2 linked regions of the Oreochromis niloticus genome follow. The protein of the gene in region 2 purifies or fractionates together with the protein of the main gene of each other region. This does not show direct contact. Links are inferred from orthologs where the notes say so. Each region holds a gene or a part of one and is shown on either strand. Other genes may lie near its edges.

The links.
Region 1: the proteins of snrpa1 (region 2) and cdc5l purify together in Homo sapiens (affinity purification with mass spectrometry; 5 studies listed by BioGRID and IntAct, counting the BioPlex papers as one, with this or other methods). This does not show direct contact. The link is inferred for Oreochromis niloticus from reciprocal best matches to the Homo sapiens genes SNRPA1 and CDC5L.

What each region holds. Positions count from the first base shown.
Region 1 is NC_031978.2:5,909,458-5,920,459, forward strand, and holds the start of cdc5l (cell division cycle 5-like protein), read right to left. Parts: upstream 4,421-11,002; 5' UTR 4,239-4,420; coding exon 4,194-4,238; intron 3,725-4,193; coding exon 3,621-3,724; intron 3,451-3,620; coding exon 3,289-3,450; intron 3,153-3,288; coding exon 3,025-3,152; intron 2,831-3,024; coding exon 2,731-2,830; intron 2,595-2,730; coding exon 2,468-2,594; intron 2,363-2,467; coding exon 2,271-2,362; intron 2,041-2,270; coding exon 1,896-2,040; intron 1,781-1,895; coding exon 1,589-1,780; intron 593-1,588; coding exon 444-592; intron 41-443; coding exon 1-40. Other genes in the region: napba (N-ethylmaleimide-sensitive factor attachment protein, beta a), read right to left, coding at 10,122-10,274, 10,947-11,002.
Region 2 is NW_020327524.1:104,999-116,095, forward strand, and holds the start of snrpa1 (U2 small nuclear ribonucleoprotein A'), read left to right. Parts: upstream 1-5,794; 5' UTR 5,795-5,906; coding exon 5,907-5,988; intron 5,989-8,110; coding exon 8,111-8,258; intron 8,259-11,097. UniProt on the Homo sapiens protein: Involved in pre-mRNA splicing as component of the spliceosome. Associated with sn-RNP U2, where it contributes to the binding of stem loop IV of U2 snRNA.

The DNA.
Region 1 (11,002 bases), on a different chromosome or scaffold from region 2:
AGGTGTCATGCCATCTGACCCCTGACCTGGACCAGGAGTTCTGTTGTAGTTGAAATACACAAAATTATTGAAATGAGAAAACTGTATAGGAACAAGTATAGAAACAAGTCTAGGAAATCCTTTCTCTTTGGTGAAAATGGTTGTGACATGGAATAGTGCACCACACATTCAACAAATGCAGCTCAACAAACCTGACACAGCATTTGAGGCTTGGGTAGCAAATGGTAACACATGTCTCTTTAAGATTCTGTCTTTGTTCACACTGTTTACAAAATGTAAACGGACAATAGCATCTGGTTTTTTGTTAGAGCTTTGACAAAGACATTTTTGTGCTTATTACATCTTGAGTTGATGCAGAGAGTAAATTAAAAAAAGAATTCAGTACTCTATTTAACTGACAGAGTGTAGACCTTATGCTATGTAACGGATTAAAGGTTTCTTACCTGAATGGTGTACTGAGAACAGTATTGGGCGTTTGTATCTGTTGACGCTGAGGCGTCACTCCACTGAAGTCGCTCTCATGCAGTGGGGTGTTGAGGCCTCCCTTCAGAGGGGTGTCGATGTTAGTCAGAGCCATCAGGTTCTGAGCTTCCTGAAAATAAAGACACACACACAGATGGTACAAATTAATTTACAGATAAATACTAAAAAACAAAAAGAAAGGAATTTAGTATCATTTCCATTCAATTTTATTTTAAATTTAAAAGGGAGCCAATGAAGAGAAGTCAATTTAGGAGAAATATGCTCTCTCTTTCTAGTCCCTGTCAGTACTCTTGCTGCAGCATTTTGGATTAGCTGAAGGCTTTTCAGGGAGTTTTTAGGACATCCTGATAATAATGAATCACAGCAGTCCAGCCTGGAAGTAATAAATGCATTACCTAGTTATTCAGCATCACTCTGAGACAGGATGTTTCTAAATTTAGAGACATTAGCCAAATGGAAGAAAGCAGTCCTACATATTTGTTTAATATGTGCATTGAAGGACATGTCCTGGTCAAAAATGAATTCAAGGTTCCTCACAGTGTTGCTAGAGGCCAAGGTAATGCCATCCAGAGTAAGAATCTGGTTAGATGCCGTATTTCTAAGATTTTTAGGGCCGAGTACAATAACCTCTTTCATCTGAATTTAGAAGCAGGAAATTAGTATCAATTTGTAATATTACATTTTTACTGACAACGATACTCCTTAATGCATACATAAAGGCAAATGCATAAATGACCCTAACAGATTGGTGGCCAAGTGATCAACACATAATATGTACATACATTTTTAAGCACTATCCTGTCTCTACTAACTTACGTTTATTATTATTATTTGGATTCACAATTCAAACAGCAGACTATAAGGTATTTTTCTGATGGAACCTGTATGATGTTCAAATGTGCAGACAGGACTGTGATTTCACATTGGCCCTCTAATTTTGACTGACTTTACTCTTTATTCATGTGGGACAATTTAGCTTAGCATCTCTGTAATTACATGGATCAATTAATATGAGATATCACATATATGCTGAAATCACACATACGGGATTATGTGAGATTGAAAAAGACATATGTGACACATTGCTTTTGAGTGTCTTTATTACCTGCATGATTCTGTCCTGAGCAGCAGGGGTTCGTGGGGTTCGTAGCCCTGTTGCCATGGTATTGGTGACACTGTATTCTGAGAGGAGGGTGGAGGAGGCGGAGTTAGCGCTTTCACTCTCCTCGGCAGCTTGACGGGCGACCTCACTGGCGACACCCAATTTGACAACTTCCTCCAACTCGACGTCACTGATCTGTGAAGAAAGCCAATTAAAGAACTTAATGTACTACCTGTTATCAATATAACAAGTACATTATATTGATATATAAAATCCAGAAGTAATAAAATTTTAAAAAAAAAGTGGTTACCTGTGGTGCGGGTAACACCAGTTTGGAACGTTTTTTGGTAAACTCAGCCACTCCACTGGTCTGCAGGATAGCAGATGGCAAGTCACTCTCCTTCTTCTTCTTTATCTTCTGTTTATCTTTCTTCCTCTCCCTCTCTTCAGTCTCACTATAATAATAATAATTTAAAAAAAAAACACAACAGGGCTTACGAATGGATGAAAACCAAAAAAATGTGGAACACATTTTGATCCTTATTATTTATATTATATACCATCAGCGTGACATTCTCACGCCTTTGCTGGGAGAAGTCAAGACCCAAGGAAAGTATTCAAGTGACATAAACAAGGAGCCATGTTAGCATACAGAAAAGCACCAGTAGTTTAAAGTGATACTAACTTGCGTAATTCTCCATCCAAGTGCTGCTGTCTGAGCCTCTTGAAATTAGGCTCCTGAGCATCATACTGCTCCATGCTGGTGTCATAGAAACCCTTAAAGTAAACAAAAGACAACAATTACTACTGTAAGATTAAGTTAATCTCACTGCTGATGTTGTGGGTTATTTTTAAGGATACAACACATAAAGCTGTGGTTACCAGTGCAGGTTTCTTTTCAAAAGGGATTTCAGCATTATAGTCTACTCCTCTCTTCTTCTTTCTCTTCTTCTGAACATCGATTCCTGCTGCTCTCAGCTCTCTGCGTTTCTGCAGAGCAGCCAGCCGCCTACAGTATGACACCAGGAAAAAAAGAGTCACATATGATCATTTTATTATTACATGTCAACTGCTCTGTAAGAGGTAAAGTTATGATAAATACAGCTTGTCTGAGGGCAATTGTAAAAGCATTAAATTAGCTGAACCTGGCTTCCTCCAGCTGTTTCTCTCTGGCCTTCCTCTTGGCTTTCTTGCCCTGGGTGTTGGCCAAACGAGCCCTGGCCTCTGAAAGCATCTCCAACTCATCTACAGACCGATGAAGACAGACAGACACACAAAACACATTGGTTAGTTACCACATATGACTGTTATGATTAATCTTAAATAATTAAATATAAAAATGTACAAGATAACTAGGAAGCAAATCCATTCTTAACACAAGGACACATTCTCTTGTTGGCTCGATAAATCTGACAGCATCTGACAGTGTGTTTTTGTACCTTCGTCCATATCCACAGGGTCAGGTCTGGCAGGTTTTGTTTCAGGATTGGGATCAATTTCTCCTGGTTTCAACTTTCTGGGGTCATCTCCCACTTCCTCCTCATTGTCTCTTTGAGCTGCTTTGTCCCTGAATAAAACACAAAATGCATCTCAATTACAAATCAGCAATGATTAGCAACAATGAATGCTCCTGGACATACAAGGTGAAAAGCCACAGAATTACAAAACATAGTGAATAAATGTGTCTTTAGAGATAAACATACAGCAGGTATTCGTAGTGTTCCAGACACTGAGCAGCAGTCCTTCCTATGATAGGAGCAATGGTCCTCCACTGGGTGGGCATCAGCTTGGCCAAGTGAAGCAGCTTCTCCTCCTCTTCTCTGGACCATTCTGTTTTCTTGATACTGGGGTCCAACCACTCGTACCTACAGACAGAAACAAAGCCAGAGGAGAAGGTCTTTATTTCGCTCTTCTTAAAGAGAGATTTGAAAGCTAAAAAAAAAATCACAGACAGAAGAAACAAACATCAATGTATGTAGAAGTTTAATTAATCTCATGTTTTTGACACATCACACATCTCTGACTCAAAACTCACCATCGGGCTTTACACTGTTTTGCAGACTTTCGGTGCAGCAGGGAGGCGATACGGGACCACTGGTTTTTCCCATATTTCATTACAGCTGCCTTGAGGATCTCATCCTAAATAAATTTTTAAAGAAGGAACAGACGTCCATAAATTAAATGGATGTACTAAATGACAAATGATTTAATCAGACTAAACATGTCAAAACCCTTTATCCTCAATCCGCAGTGGGCTGATTCATTTTCATCCCAGTGCTGAAAAACAATTATATTATCCCCTATCTTTTGCTCACTTATAAAAATTTATGAAGTCTTGTGGTTTGTTATTTTGGCCATCTAGATTGCCAAATATTCGCTAACTGTAAACATGTATGTTTAAGTGCAAATTAAAAAGCTTCGTGCATACAACTCAACACAAGCACGAAATAAAGTCTTAAAACACAGCTGGCGATAATTTAAATAAACTTTAAATGCCACACGGGATAAATTCGTTAAGTGAGTAGCTAGCTTCATGCTAACTCGAGACCATAGGTTTGCTTTCGGAGTTTAGCATCATGCTAACCAAGCTAGCCATGTAAACACGTACCTCAGTGTTGCGCCAGACGCCTCCTTTAATCATAATTCGCGGCATCTTGGCGGCTTCGTTGTATCTCCTCCTTCAGTGAAATGCTATAAGTGATTCTTATCCAGCTGTGGTGTTTTGTAGCTTTAGATTAAAACAAAACAAAAATCCAACTACAAACCAAGCGCTGCGAGGGAAAAAGCGACATGCACCATACCGGAAACTCACAACGGGTGCACCACATGAATTGTGGGTAATGTGGTCGACGAGTAATGACGAAATTCGATGACAGTTTCCTTTACCACCTCCCCTTTCACAACTTGATAAAACAGACAAAGGCAAATATCTATGAAAAGCACTCACCATAGAATTAATACATGTTAAAAAATAAATAAATACATTTACTAACTTATAAAATTATTAAAAATTGTAATAAAAATGTATATATAAATCTGAACATTTAAACATAAATAACTCGTATAAGAAAATAAAAAATGAATTAATTTTTAAAAACACCTTTGGAAAAAAACGTCTTGATGCATTCTCAATCATCCAGGAAAGTAAATCTCCAAAAGTTGAATCTGTTCATCTGGACGTAGCGTTTTGTGGGAGAAACGTTTCGTCACTCATCCAAGTGACTTCTTCAGTCTCAGCTGACTGCAGGTTTCCCCAAACCTTATAAACAGGACATTTGCATAATGACTGAAACCAGCCCACTGAAGGAACAATGGGCTGTGCGGTCAGTTCCTTAATCATAATTATGCAAATTCCCATGCAAATGTACTGTTTATAAGGTTTGGGGAAACCTGCAGTCAGCTGAGACTGAAGAAGTCACTTGGATGAGTGACGAAACGTTTCTCCCACAAAACGCTACGTCCAGATGAACAGATTCAACTTTTGGAGATTTACTTTCCTGGATGATTGAGAATGCATCAAGACGTTTTAACCCACTTTGGCAAGGACTGCCTAAAGCTTGTACTTCAGTATGAGCAAACAGCACGTAAGATGGCGGACTACAGGAACCACCTGAGATTCAGCCTCAGATGCCGACAAAACAGGATTACTCCTAAAAGTCTGCAAATGAGCTCTTCAGTTAAAGGCTTCCGGGCAACAAAAATCCTCCAGAAGGCACAGCATCAGTTGCTTAATGAACGGGTGAGGCAGACAAATTTTACCATCGACATGCTAAAATCTCAAGAGGAGCGGATCCGACGGAGACTGACTATGCTTTTAGATGAGAATACTCTTCAAAAGGTCTTTGACTTCACTGAGAAGGCTCGTCTAGCACAGCACAAGAAGTCTAAGACCAGGCAACAAAGGAAGTTCGACTTACTTGTTGTACGTCGGAAACCACCGCAAAATACGGAGAGTGTCCTCAGTGGCCAGAAGAGACAAGGATGCAACATGGAGGATGTGGACAAGTGGGTGAAGAATTTGTCTGACAGACAGCTCACCCAAACAGAGAAAAACATCCTTGCTAAAGGGTTGAATTTTGCTGTCACACCGAGAAAAATCCCGCTAGTGGAGCTGATCACAGCCACAGAATCAGCAATTCGTAACAACAATATTTCAGAAGTGGAAGCAGAGCAACTACGGACGAAAGTTTCGGCCTATCTCAGCAATGCAAAGCCCCCAGCATCCAACATCTCCATGGAGGAGAGGAAGGCACTCACATCACTTAGTGATGACAGCAACATTATCATCCTTCCGGCAGACAAGGGTAGGTGCACAGTATTGCTTAACCAGAAAGACTATCATGAGAAGATTTTGTCACTACTCAGTGATGAAAATACTTATGAGCCCCTGAAACGAGACCCAGGAAGTGGTTACAGGAAGAGGGTGATAGACTGTCTGAAGCAGTTAGAACAAGACAAGGCTATTGACTGGACCTCATACCACAGGCTGTACCCAGGGGAGTCTACACCAAGTCTGTATGGTTTACCGAAAATACATAAGCAGGGTGCACCTTTAAGACCAATTGTCTGCATGATCAACTCGGTCACCTATAACATCTCCAAGTTTCTGGCTTCAATCCTCAACCCGCTGGTGGGCAGCTCTGAACACCACATCCAGAACACCCTGGATTTTGTTGAGAAGGTGAGAGATGTCATTATGGAGGCAGATGAAACCATGGTCTCGTACGACGTTACATCTCTCTTCACTTGCATCTCAGTCACGGAAGCGTTGGAGGTAGTCCGTAAGAGATTACAGGATGACACCAACCTCAGCAACAGGACCACTCTCAGCATCGACCAAGTGTGTTTGCTTTTGGAACTGTGTCTTCATTCCACCTACTTCACATACAAGGGTCAGTTCTACAGGCAGAATCATGGGTGTGCCATGGGCTCCCCAGTTTCACCCATCGTGGCCAATTTGTACATGGAAGAAGTGGAAAAGAGGGCTTTGCTATCCTACCCTGGAACACCACCAAGCCATTGGTTCAGATATGTGGATGACACCTGGGTGAAAATCAAATCTCAGGACGTACTACACTTCATGGATCACATTAACTCGGTGGACCGACACATCAAATTCACCAGGGAGGATATGAAAAGTGGCAGGTTAGCCTTCTTAGACTGTGAGATTTCCATCAGTAATGGGGGACATCTAAAAGCTGACGTGTACCGTAAACCTACACATACGGATCAGTATCTAAGGTTTGACTCTCATCATCCACTGGAGCACAAACTGGGTGTCATCAGGACACTACAACACAGAGCGAACACCATCCCCACAGACACAGCGGCCAGGGAGGCAGAAGAACAGCACATCAAGAAGGCCCTGAGTAAATGTGGCTATCCCAGCTGGACTTTTGTCAAAGCTGGAAAGACACCCAAAGAAAGCTCCAGCCGATCCAGGAGAGAAGGACAACCGCTGCCCAGGCGAAAACCTGTGGTGATCCCATATGTGTCAGGAGTATCGGAGCAGTTGAGACGCATTTTTTCGAAACACCGGGTCTCTGTGGCTTTTAAACCCCAAAATACGCTGCGCCAAAAACTGGTCCACCCCAAGGATCGGGTCCCCCGACACAAACAGAGTAACATAGTGTACGCTGTTAAGTGCCAGGAGGATTGCCAGGATTTATACATCGGGGAAACCAAACAACCTCTGGCGAAGCGGATGGCACAACACAGAAGGGCTACCTCGTCAGGCCAGGACTCTGCAGTCTATTTACACCTACAGGCCAGAGGACACTCTTTCAAGGATGAGGATGTACACATCCTGGACAGGGAAGAACGCTGGTTTGAGTGCGGAGTCAAGGAGGCCCTTTACGTGAAAAGGGAAAGACCATCTCTGAATCGAGGAGGGGGCCTAAGGGTACATCTTTCGCCATCTTACACTGCTGTGATTGCAGCCATTCCCCAACTCTCTGTGAATGGGACTCATGGCCATTGATCAGTGTTCTTTGATCAGTGGGTTTTGGTCAGTGATTGTTGATCAATGGTCATGGGAATTTGCATAATTATGATTAAGGAACTGACCTCACAGCCCATTGTTCCTTCAGTGGGGTGGTTTCAGTCATTATGCAAATGTCCTGTTTATAAGGTTTGGGGAAACCTGCAGTCAGCTGAGACTGAAGAAGTCACTTGGATGAGTGACGAAACATTTCTCCCACAAAACGCTACGTCCAGATGAACAGATTCAACTTTTGGAGACCTTTGGAAAACATATTCTCTGTGTATACACATTTTCATTTAATGAGAGCATATCTATTATTCCATATTGGTGTTACATGTAGCATGAAAATATGTTTCTCAACCAGTTTCGAATAGATAGGAACCGTTGATATGTAAGTTCCTGGATTCAAAGCATAATAAAAAGTCTATCCCTCCTAAATTTTGAAATGAAAAAGCAAATAAGGTATGTTAAACCAAAAATAACGGTCTACTATTAAGAAAAGGTTTTAACCATTTTAACTTTAAAACAACCAACACCAGGTGGCATCTGTCATTCTGACAAGACTTGCATATGTCGAGACATTATGTCATTAAAGGTTATCAGGCAATCAAAAGAAATGTGCAGGATGGTCAGCAGAGTACAGCTGAGACACAAGGTCTGATGCAGTGTCCTGCTGACCATTTGAGTGGATGAGGAAATACACAGCTGCTTGCTGTCTGGAACTCAAAGTCCCACAGGACCTTACCTCTGTTGTTGTCAGTCACCTTTGTGGTGTCTCCCATAGGGACTTGGGGACTTTTAGTCCGTATGTGGCACAGATGTTCCTCACCACTTGGTTGTGCCTCTCAGTGTATGCGGTCTCAGTTTGCATCTTACAGTCTGGCAAGATGTGTTTGATAGTCTGCAGGGCACCTTTGCACAGTCTGCAACTTGGGTCCTGTCATGTGTGGTAGACTCCTGCCTCTTTGGATGCAGTACTTATGGCCTCTTCTTCTGCTGCCATGATCAGAATTTCTGTGCTGTCCTTTAAGCAGGCCTTTTCAAGCCACTGGTAGGATGTCTTGGCTTCAGCCATTTCCTCTATCAGTCAACAGCACATCACATGTAAAAGCTTGGTCTTCTATTGCGGTTCCTTTTCCTGTTCTGCATATATATATGAAACAAATATTCTCTGAACACAAAAGCTAAATATGACCCTCCTTACCATTCCTTGTTGAACTGTGCTGAGTGTTGCAGAATTCATCTTGGTGTATCCACCTACCTTTGGGAGAAACCTGATTGACTCAATCTCACCTATGACTAAAATCCATTTCAGATCCTAGCTTCCAAAATCTGTAACTGCACCAATACCTACCACGGAGACACAAGTTCTATTTAGGAATGTGCCTATGTTATGTTATTAAAGTGAATGTAGTGTATTTATTTTCCTTTATTTATATTTATTTTCATGAGATATTCTTCTTTCTCAGTGTTCTCGTCTTCTGGCCTGTGGTCTGTTTCCATATTCTAAATAAACACCCAGATACTTGGAGCGCTGATGTTTTTATTCAACTCGGTCTCTGAAGTACATATTTACTGATTTCACACAAATGATACGAGGCTACATGTATGTTCTTCACACATTAGCACAACACGGAGAACACTTACAACAACATGACAGTAGACATGCACAAAACAAGGCAGTGACAGGAGTCAGCACTGGTGGCTTACTGTGCCGAACCACCACTGGCCTGAACACAAAGAGCCAACCAATCACAATGGGTGATTTCACTGATTTGACAGGGTGTGGGGATGCGGAGAGGACAGTGAGACAGAGGAGGAGGAGGAGAAGAAGTAAAGGAGAAAGGAGAAGGAGAGAGAGCTGAGGGGCTAATACCTAAAATAGTAAGACAAATCATAACACTGAGCACCATAATAAACAATACATATGTTCAGTATTGACAATAAATATCAGAAATCTCATAAATAATATTTCTCAATATTGTTTTTTTTAATAACATATTTCCTTAAATCTCATTTAAGCTGCAAACTTTCCCATCAGACAGTTTCATTAACCTTTCTGGTGTGGACACACACTCTTTCTCTTTCACACACACACACACACACACACACACACACACACTCTTTCTCTTTCACACACACACACACACACACACACACACACACACTCTTTCTCTTTCACACACACACACACACACACACACACACACGTTTTCTTTCCACTCTTACTTTTAAGTACAATTCTGTCCAGTGTTACGAGAGCAATACTGCAGGACCAGGAGACACAGGGTGATCTTAAGGTGATTTAAAGGTGATGCTTAGCTCATTGGGGGGCAGGTCACATGCAGACTGATATGTACAACTGTAAACTCCTTCACCTCCCACCCTCTTTCATCTTTCTGCCTTTACTTTATTCTACTTTTACACATCCATTAAGATACATGCCTGTCTCTTGTCCCATCATTTAATCCCCTCCACTCTCATCTTCCTTCTCTCTTCAATGGCCCCTTCCCCTATTCCCCCCCTTTGCTCTCTCCCCTCTTCTAATTGTGTCTATTTCAGGTCCCCAGCGTCCCCCTGGATGGTTTTCTTGATGCGTAGCAACATCGTGGTCAGCCACTGGTCCAGGCGAGACACAGAATCAAACTCCTTCACGGCCTCCGTGAACGCCTCGCTATTCTGCTCCTCGTGGGCTTCTAGCAGTTTCTGTTGCACAGAGGAGTGGCGAATAGGCGAATGTTCATGGGAAAAAACACACAAATGGCACAATTAAGCTCTGATTAGTAGCAGCAGTGTTTTTAATGATCATATTCTGTGGGCTTTGCTTCCCATCATAATGTTATTATGACTATTTACATTAAATACTATTGAAAGAAATCTACATGTTTGATTTCAGTGTCTAAACTTAACTAAAGGTGCAATATCTGAAGACATATCAACTGAAGTTGGAGTAAGGCTGGGCTGTACCTTTGTGTAATGCCAGTTTGAACCACAAGATGGTGCACTAAGCCAATGCAATTGTTATTTAATCACGTAAGTCAAAGATGGAGAGCTACAAAAATATACAAACTTAAATATCAATAAACATTTGAAAACATTTCAATGCATCCACTAGTAAACAGCTCCCCCTGGTGGTGAAAAGTTTAGTCCAAACCTTTGCAGAGGTTAAAAACAAAAATTACATTTACATTTTCCAGGAATTTCCTTCATAAATCATTGTCTGCTTGTTGTAAAGACAGTTTTACTTTATTTTTCATAAAATTATTGTTTCAGTGTAACAGATTTTATAAACCATTAAAACCTTGCATAAATGCATAAATACAATATTTATGCAAACTTAGAAAGTTATGTTGAAAAAAACAAGAAAAGGTAATTTACCTTTAACAGTTTGAGCTCTCTGGAGTCTGAGAAGGCTGGAAACATCTCTTCATACT
Region 2 (11,097 bases):
ACCTCCGCGTTAGCAAACACCAGACGATCGGCGGTAGCCTCACCGCCTTGTATGTCTCGTTCGCGGCATGTCCTTTCTGTCACACACCGGTGGATAGCTGCCCTCTGTTGTAGCTCCACCACCAAACAACTCAGTTATTTTTTCCACATCGACCAGCATCATCGGCCCATATAAACGAAAAATAAGTCCAGCTAAGACACAGACCCTTGCCGAGCGATCGGGCGATTAAACAAATTTTAGCCACCTCACTATCAGCCAAGCCTGGGTGGTTTTTCACGAAGGGGCTAGCTAGCCGGCTATCAGCAACACTTAAAAGAATTGTCGCTAATATGGGATGTCTTGATAAAACGAGCAGATATTTGAAGTTTACACACCTACATTCTCGCCTGAAAATATCTTAAAAGTGCATTTTGTGACCTAGAAACACGAATAAAAGACATATAAAACGAAGTGGTGTCCGCCATTGTTTGACTCGGTAGAGGCATGCTATGAATTGTGGGATATGTAGTTTTCACCAAGCATGGCACCCTTTAGGCCGTACTACTCCCGGTATACCACTAGAGAGAGCCAACACACCACAAATGAAGTCTGTTTCTATGGTGCCAAAAGCAGAATCTTTCTCAGGAGCCTAGAAATTGGCCTAAATTTGCACTAAAATCTAAATATTTCAAAAAGTATAAAAGTTATGAACACCAAAAGTCACACCATACTAGCCCAGCTCCAGCCGCACAAAATGATGTAACATATGTACCCCTATTGTCAAAACTGTTTGGCAGAGGAGCGCGGGAAAATTTTCACTAAAATATTAATATTTTAAAAACTATAATAGTCATAAACACCAAAAGTCATAGCACACCATTCCAGATCCAGCCGCACAAAATGAGGTAACATATATGAAGCTTTTCTCAAAACTGCGGGGCGTGATACGTGCCGAAATTTAGGCGGAAGATGGAGAATAATAATAATAATAAGAATAATAAATCCGAGGAATAGTAATATGTGTGCCTCTTGGCATAGGCACACATAATTAAGAAAGATAGAACCAAGAAAAAAAAAACAAGAAAAGACAAAGACAGACTATGCTAAAAAATGTGATGCCACAGCACTAGTCAAATTGGTCAAGAGTAATAAGAATGGCGAACTGTGTTTAAATTATGTCACAAAATGTCAATGATGAAATATACAGTGTTTATTTCCTGGTTAGTCTGTAGTGGCTCCTGAAAAGCAAGTCTACCACACCGTCACCAATTTGACTGAGAGCTCAAAGCTCAGTGACAAGAACGCCTGACTCCGGGTCAGAGGTAGTAAAAGTACAGACATTCTCCACTTATCTGTTCTTCCACTTAAGCTGAAGAACAGATATTTTTGTTAAAAAATGCTCCAGTAAAAGTACTGATTTAACATCTTTACTCAAAAGTGAAATAGTATAGTCCTTGAAGTGTAGCTTCTCAAAGTACGTAATCATTCTCCATCTCTGACAGAAGTTAGCTCTCATTCTTTTCTCTCCCTGGAAATACAGCAGCTGGACCTTTATCCAGCAACACACTGTGCAACAAATTACACAGGAACTAGAGGTGGGCAGATTGATCCAAATATCGACAGTATCGATACCAACACTGGTATCAGTATCAGACTGATACTAATGCAATTGGATTGAATCTTTTTTCTATCCTCAGTTTTCAGTATGAATCCCACTGAACTGTGTTAAATACATTTTTAGTGTATTTTTAAAAATATTTTTTAATGAAAAAATATAGCTCAAAATAGTATATAGCACAAATGGTAAAATGGTAAATGGCCTGTATTTGTATAGCGCTTTACAAGTCCCTAAGGACCCCAAAGCGCTTTACACACCCAGTCATCCACCCATTCACACACACATTCACACACTGGTGATGGCAAGCTACATTGTAGCCACAGCCACCCTGGGGCGCACTGACAGAGGCGAGGCTGCTGAACACTGGCACCACCGGGCCCTCTGACCAGGGCCCGGGCCCTCTGAGTTACACAAGCTCCCTTTATAGGTTAAAACTATCAGTATCACTAAATTAAGGAAAGTATTGGTATTGGCAATACTTTCCTTAATTTATTTTGTACTGGATCGATACCAAAATTTGTAGTATCGCACAGCACTAACAGGAACAGTTTGTGTGTTTGCTCATGTTTTTTGAGCTGACAGAAATGTTTTAGAAACGTTATGTCACTGCTCCAGAAATGACCAAATGACGTGTTTTCACTATTTGTTAAATTCTCTTGCAAATACCAGCTGTACATTTTGGGCGTCTACTAAAATAAAAATAAAAGAATCCTAACATCAGACCCGTTTTTTTAAAAATTCATTAAGTAGCATGAGCTGTGTACACATGTGTAATGTATTTATTGTGTTTTAGTGTTTTACTATGAGTGTTTAACTGTATTTAGCTAATTAGACAGATCATATAAATCTCTGGATGTTTACAATGGCCATGAATACTAAAGGCAGGAAGTCTTTTCTGCAACCTTTCCCAATTGTTTCACATTGATGATCTTTTTCTAGCCAATCATTTGTGCTGAAAAATACAAATGTTAATTGAAGAAAATGCACATATTAATCACAGTAAAATTACGAGGGGCAGTAAAAACACTGAACACAGAACGCAAGTACGGACTTGCGTAATCAAGTATTGGACGAGAGACAGCGGTAAGAGGAAAGGAGGGGGACTGGCAGTGTTTGTGAATGACAGATGGTGTAACCCTGGGCACATCACTGTAAAAGAACAACTCTGCAGCAGAGACATTGAGCTGTTAGCCATTAGCATGCGTCCGTACTACCTGCCCCGGGAATTCTCGCATGTTATCGCGATAACAGCGTATGTCCCCCCCTCGGCCAACACGGATGCAGCCTGTGACACTCTCCACTCAGTGGTCAGCAGACTGCAAACACAATCTCCGAGAGCCCTTCTCATAATATCAGGGGACTTCAATCATGCCTCACTGGACTCCACACTGCCCACCTTCACCCAGTATGTGACCTGCCCAACCAGAGACAATAAAACACTGGACTTACTGTATGCCAATGCAGAACAGGCATACAGTTCATCACCTCTCCCTCCCCTGGTCAGATCTGATCATAACCTGGTGCACCTTGTCCCTGTGTATGAGCCCTTAGTGCGCAGGGAGCCACCAGCCACCCGCACAGTGCAGAGATGGTCGGAGGAGAGCGAGGAGGCTCTTAAGGATTGTTTTGAGTCCACTGTGTGGGAGGTGATCTGTGACGACCACGGAGAGGACATCGACAGCCTTACTACATGCATTACTGACTATATTAATTTCTGTGTGGACAACACCGTACCTACCAGGACTGTACGGTGTTTCTCCAACAACAAACCTTGGATTACTCCAGAAATTAAAGCTGTCCTCAAGCAGAAGAGGAGGGCCTTCAAATCCAAAGACAAAGAGGAGTTTAAAAGGGTGCAGAGAGAGTTGAGGGGACTGATAAGGAATGGGAAGGATAGCTACAGGCAAAAGATGGAGAACCAGCTTCAGCAAAACAACGTTGGTGAAGTCTGGAGAGGCCTCAGAACCATCTCAGGCCACAAACATCACAACTCTCTGCCTGGGAGGGATGTGAGGTGGGCAAATGAACTGAATCATTTCATTCATTCATTTCTTCAACAGATTTGATTCAGCCATGAGGCAGTCTCCAACATCGGCTGCAGACTCACCCACCCCCACTGCTGCTGTTCCACCTCAGACACTTCACACCTCCTCTATTCACCCTGCTCACTCCTCCCAACCCCCAACAACAGCATCCAATACACACTCAACACAAGGCTCCAGCCTGTCTCTCTCAACCACCCAGGTTAGGAGGGAACTGAGGAGGATTAAAGCCAAGAAGGCAGCGGGTCCAGATGGCATCAGCTCGAGGGTCGTCAGGTCCTGCGCTGACCAACTGTGTGGGGTGATGGAGCACCTCTTCAACCTGAGCCTGAGGCTGGGAAGAGTCCCACAGCTCTGGAAAACCTCCTGTGTTGTTCCAGTGCCAAAGACTTCACGCCCCAAGGACCTCAACAGCTACAGGCCGGTGGCTCTGACATCCCACCTGATGAAGACCCTGGAGCGGTTGGTCCTGGCTCAGCTTCAGCGCCTTGTGAGCTCATCACTGGACCCACTTCAGTTTGCCTACCAACCTGGCATTGGAGCGGATGATGCCATCATTCACCTCCTACATCGTTCCCTCGCTCACCTGGAGACCACTGGGAGCACTGTGAGAATCATGTTCTTTGATTTCTCCAGTGCCTTCAACACTATTCTTCCCTCGGTTCTGAAGGACAAGCTGGAGAACTCTGGAGTGGACCATCACCTCACTACCTGGATTTTGGACTACCTCACCGACCGACCACAGTATGTGAGGACTCAGGGCTGTGTGTCGGACAGGGTCGTCTGCAGTACGGGGGCCCCACAGGGAACGGTTCTGGCTCCGTTCCTCTTCACCATCTACACTGCAGACTTCTCCCACAACTCCACCCAGTGCCTACTGCAGAAGTTCTCTGATGACTCTGCAATAGTCGGCCTCATCACTGATGGGGACGACAAGGAGTACAGAGGACTGACTCAGGACTTTGTGGACTGGTGCCAGCTGAACTACCTCCAGATCAATGCCAGTAAAACCAAGGAGCTGGTGGTAGACTTCCGCAGGCACAAACATCCTCCACTGCAACCACTGAACATCCAAGGTATGGACATTGAGGCTGTGGACAGCTACAGGTACCTTGGTGTTCATCTGAACAGCAAACTGGACTGGACTCATAACTCAGACGCCCTCTACAGGAAAGGGCAGAGCAGACTGTATCTGCTGCGGAGACTCAGGTCGTTTGGAGTAGAGGGCCCACTCCTGAAGACCTTCTATGACTCTGTGGTGGCCTCAGCCATCTTTTATGGTGCGGTCTGCTGGGGTGGCAGCATCTCTGCTGGGGACAGGAAGAGACTGAACAGGCTGATCCGAAGAGCCAGCTCTGTTCTAGGATGCCCTCTGGACCCAGTGGAGGTGGTGAGTGACAGGAGAATGGCGGCTAAGCTGTCATCCCTGTTGGACAACATCTCCCACCCCATGCAGGAGACTGTGACAGCACTGAGCAGCTCCTTCAGTGGGAGACTGCGGCACCCACGGTGTGGGACGGAGAGATTTCGCAGGTCTTTCCTCCCCACTGCTGTCAGACTCCACAACAAAGACTTTAACTGATCAAACACACACATCCACACATGTGCAATAACACTAATGTGCAATAATCTTTTCTGGCATCGTTGTATTTTTACTCAGTTGTATATAGCATTTGTATTCTATTTTTATCTTATTGTATATTTTATTCTATTTTATTCTACTGTATATAGTATTTTATTTTATTCTATTCTGTACAGTTGTGTACTGTATTTATTCTTATTTTATTTTATTCTAATTTTTGCTTCATAACTTTTGCACTGTCCACTTCCTGCTGTGACAAAACAAATTTCCCACGTGTGGGACTAATAAAGGTTATCTTATCTTATCTTATCTTATCTTATTGTCAAACGGCAAGTGTCGACACACTTGTGCCACACACTCCACGAGGCGTCATCTACCCGTCACTGTTAGTAAAGTGCTTAAAACAAACGAACAAACAGATCCTATTATGCCCGACAGGCAAAATCTACCGGGTCACGTCCCTCAGTTAGGACCATTCCTAAGCAAAGTGGAAGGATCAAAAAACGAAATGTGCATGCAACACCACCCTCCCTCCGCGGGAGGCGCTATAAAAAATAAAGCAAACGTTGTCGCCACGTGATAGGAAAGATGTAAACCTTTTGTTCCGGGCTGCTTGGTGTAGCGGTGTACACTCGCTTTGCTGTGAATTTAGGAGACGTGATAAGGTTCCTTTTTGTTCGTTGAGATGGTGAAGTTGTCCGCGGAACTTATTGAGCAGGCTGCTCAATATACAAATCCCGTGAGAGACAGAGAGTTGGATTTAAGAGGTGAGTTAAATTGTCCTTAATACAGCATACATAGAAAGGCCTGTGCTCATTAGCTTACGCACATTTTACGCGGGCCTTAACGTGAGCCTCATTCAAAAACTTAACTGGATAGTGTTCAGTTTCATACGAACTGCTGCAGAAATAATGCTGGCTTATGTCTAGACACAACAAGGCGGATTTCATCATAATGTACTGTATATTAAAAGGGTAAATTGAGTCATTCCATCTGAAATCTTAGAGAAAATAAAAACCCATAACATTTTCTGCTCAGCCAACTCAGATTTGCCTGAAAATTGTATGTTTTAAAACGTTTGTAATAATTGCGATTAAATTTTGTCTTCATATATGAAGACTATGAAGACTTAATATAAATTTGGTTTCAGGGTATTTTAGGTGAATTGAAATCTGAGAATATGTTTGAACATAAATATCTCTGAAGATAAAATTTGTGCGTTTTCTCACCAAAAAATGTAATTGTGGTCAGCTAGTATGGGCTACAAATCCCATCATAACAAACAAAAACATACATTATTAAAAACATTCTTGATTATATTTGAATAATCTGTTAATTCAGGTTACATCATCACCAAGCTGCATTCTGATAGCACTTAAGGGCAAGCAAATGTTTGCATTCATAGAAAGAGAAAACCCACGGTAAAATAATTGGATATACAAAATGATTGTAGATGATTGTTGTCAGAGCTGACATAGTTATCTGCACACATTATGTGTGTGTTAGTGAGGAGCCGTGATAAGGTTCCTGTCAATCTGCCCCAGGGCAGCTGTGGCTACAACTGTAGCTTGCCTTCACCGGTGTATGAATGTGAGAGTGAATGAATAGTGGTATTGTAAAGCGCTTTGAGGGATCCCGAAAAGCGCTATATAAATGCAATCCATTATTATTATTATTATTATTATTATTTTAACTGGATGACTTTTAATCTGCTATTAATCGCATTATATGCATAATTCCATAATGAGTTAAAAAGTTGTGTATTGTATTTTAGTACTATTGCTATATGAGCAGTCAGATACTTTCAGGATATTTTTCTTGTTTTATTTATTTTTTTACATATGCTTTTTAACAGCAGTATTCCTGCTGCGCAGTAGCAGTTAAAGTAGCTCTTTAATTTCACCTTAACCATGAACCTGATCTAATAAAATCAAATAGTTATTTGTCAATTACAGGGCATTGACATTTTGTCTAGTTTGTTTTAGAAAAACAAGTTACCCTCAGTTCAATGTCACAATTATAACATTACAAACAAAACATGTTACTTCAAGAGATGTTCCTGTATTATTAAAATGTGACAAATTAACACCCAAAAAACGAATAAATTGCGACTGAGAAGTGTGGTGCCTTGTGTTGTGCATTGTGAGTAATGGCCATTATTCTACAATTCATGGAAACCATTTTAATAAAAGTTAAAATCTAAAATAAAATAATTCATCCAGCTATTTTCTTCTGCGTATCTGAAATCAGGTCGCGGGGCCTAAGCAGTTAAACCCAGACCTCTCTCTTGCAAATCGCTCCCTCTAGCTTATCCAGGGAAAACACTGAGGCATTTCCAGGCCAGCCAAGAAAGCCACCATGTCCTGGATCTACCCTGGGGCCTCCTCCCAGTAGGACATGCCCAGCCAGAACACCTTACCCAGGAGGCAACAGGCTCAATGGCTCCTTTTGATGTGCAGAAGTAGCAGCTCTACTTCGAGCCCCTCCCAAATGACTGAACTCATACTATGCTGAGAGAGAGCTAATGCACCCTTTGGAGAAGGTTATTGGCCAGTTATAGGCCAATACTGTGCCTTAGCATGGAAACTCCTGTCATGCATCATAGCAGGCAAGATGAGCAGGCTCAAAACACGAGTAGGGCCCTGAAGGGAACTGACAGAAACACCACGGGGGGAAAAGATCGGCTACTGGTAGAGCATCGAGCTGTGAATTGTGATGAATTGATATCACTCTCACTCCTGTGCCAGGAGTGAGAGTGATATCAATTCACTGATCTACAACAATGATATCAGAATGTCATTTGGAACAGAGATGTGTAGTCAGATAGTAGCAAAGAAAGGGAAGATGCTATCTGTATTTTAATTATTTTATTTTTTTGTTTTCGCCCAGGTTATAAAATCCCAGTGCTTGAAAATCTTGGAGCTACTCTGGATCAGTTTGACACTATAGATTTCTCTGATAATGAAGTCAGAAAATTGGATGGCTTCCCTTTGCTTAAAAGACTGAAAACCTTGCTAATGAACAACAACAGGATTTGGTAAGTTAGAGGTGTGTGTGTCTGTGTACGTGTGTTATTGAAAAAAATAACACTGCAACCACTGTTGTCTTCACCCGATACCCTGGTTGTATTATAAGGTGCTCAAAGGAGGAGATATTGACATAAAGACAAAACTCCATACCATGCATGAAGGATTACATCTCAAATCCAGCACTCTGCAAACATATGCTTGCCGAAAGATGGCTGAAGACTGAGTGTCAGAACCACTATCCAGGGCGAAACAACAAAGCTCCTTGTGTAATCCAAGGGCATAAATGGAACACCATAACCAGATACCTGGGATAGCACTCGGCCATGGTGTCTGTTGCGTCTATTGGAGTGTGAATCTTTGCGCTTGGATAGAAAACAGTGGTTGTATGAAAAGCTATGGACAATGGGTCTAAGGATTTGGACTCATTGCCTCATCAGCTGAAGTAGGGGTGGGCGGTATAAAACGGTATATGGTAGAAACGATATAAATTTGGCCAACGGTAGAGATTTTGACTACCGCTCTACCGCAATCCGGTTGTTCAGTCTGACGTCACTGGCCGTGTCTGGGCCTAAACTCCGCTGCAGGTCCATATATCAAACGATCACTGTGGCATTACTGAGAGTTGAAAAACTGTCTAAAGTCTTTCATCTTTAATAAAATGATCAGTGTTCTGCTCTACCAGGTGTAACAATTGAGTTTAACATCCAGGCATCCATGAAAATGGAATTTATGACATTTAACGGCGTTAGAAGTTAGCTCGCTAGCTTCTATCTAAATACAATATAGCATGTCCTGACTGCGGGGTTTTGGAAAAAAAATTCAAACGTACAGCTCTGCTATAACTTCCAACATAAATGAAGACAGAAAACTAAACAGCAGTGACGTTTGTAGGGTTACTGAAGTTTGGCTAGCTGGTATATAATGATGTGCTACGTGACCGCTAGCGACACAGCTATGTTAGCATAACATAAACAAGCTAACTTTTTTTCCACTCGATAAAAGTTAACGTGAGTGTTCTCGGTGGTCAGGAACAAATGTAATCGCATGGCAGGATGCTGTAAAAGGACTAAACTTCAGCCAGGAGAACAAGTGAGATAATCCATCCACAATACGAGGTTAGTCATTCATATACTGCTGCATGGGCTGTGCTGTAGTTACATCGTAAGGTTTTAAAAACTGAGCTTAAATAAATGATTAGCGGTAATAAAAGCCGAGGGAGGTCAACAGTGATCACTGACTGTTTTAGGAGCTTTTTGAGATTAAATAGAAGAAAATACAAAACATTAAACATGTTAACAACACAAAAGCCATATTAAACGCAGACTACTTTAGGCCCGGAAGTAGGATTCGTCACGTCATCACTGAACAACCGGATAGCGCATGTTGATGGTGTCATCAAGCTGCGCCTGTTTTGGTCGAAAAAATTGCAGCGGCTGCAAACAGTCAGCCAAACAATCCGCTGCAAATTATGCTGGGTGACAGTAATAGCAAAGAGACGAAGCACTTTTGGAATATGGGGAAAGCTGAAAACTGCGCTTCATCCACTTCCGTACCATTGACTCATTAATGCTGAATTCTCTCACAGCTGCTCTATTCCCATGTTGTTGCAGTATATTAATGACTAACCTCGTATTATGGATGGATTATCGCAGTTGTTCTCCTGACTGAAGTTTGGTCCATTTACAGCATCCAGCCATGCAATTGCATTTGTCCCTAACCACCAGAAACCCTCACGTTAACTTTTATCGAGTGGAAAAACGTTGGCGTTCATCCTTCAGCTTCACTGTACTAATGTTATGCTAACATAGCTGTTTTGCTAGCCCAATCAACTTCAGAAACCCTACAAAAGTCACTGCTGTTTAGTTTTCTGTCTTCATTTATGTTGGAAGGGATAGCAGAGCTGTACGGATTTATTAAATTCAACTCAGTTGAATTTAATAAATCCTGTTTTCATGGATGCCTGGATGTTAAACTTAATTGTTACACCTGATAAAGCAGCAACGCTAATCATTTTATTAAAGATGAAAGAATTTACAGTTTTTAACTCTCAGTGATGCCACAGTGTTCGTTTGACTTTGGGACCTGAAGCAGATGGAGTTTTGGACCCAGATTACTCCGCAAGGCTCCTGACTATGGCAGCCGTAATGCTATGGCAATCCATCAAGCAGTGCGGCTTCGTAGCTTACCAAAGTCGTACTAAAACATTTTTTTGACAGATTTCTGCGCGCTGTGTACTACATAAATGGTAAATGGCCTGTATTTATATAGCGCTTTTCTAGTCCCTAAGGACCCCAAAGCGCTTTACATATCCAGTCATTCACCCATTCACACACACACATTCACACACTGGTGATGGCAAGCTACGTTGTACATAAAATCAGTTCAAGGTCAGTAAGCACCACCAGAATTCATACATAAGGCGCACTGTCGATTTTTGAAAAAATTAAAGGATTTTAAGTGTGCCTTATAGTGTGTAAAATACGCTATACAGAAGTATGAGGGGCCGTACAAGCCAAAATTCATTCTTTCACTCTCACACACATACATTCTTCTCTCACACACATATATTTTCACTCTCACATACATATATTTTCATTCTTTCACTCTCACACACATACATTCTTCTTTCACACACATATATTTTCACTCTCACATACATACATTTTCACTCTCACACACATACATTCTTCTTTCACATACATATATTTTCACTCTCACATACATATATTTTCACTCTCACATACATACATTTTCATTTATGCATTCCTACATTTTGCTCTCATTTACATGCATTCAATATGCATTTAATCTCACAAATAATATATGTATGTAAGCAGAGAATGCATA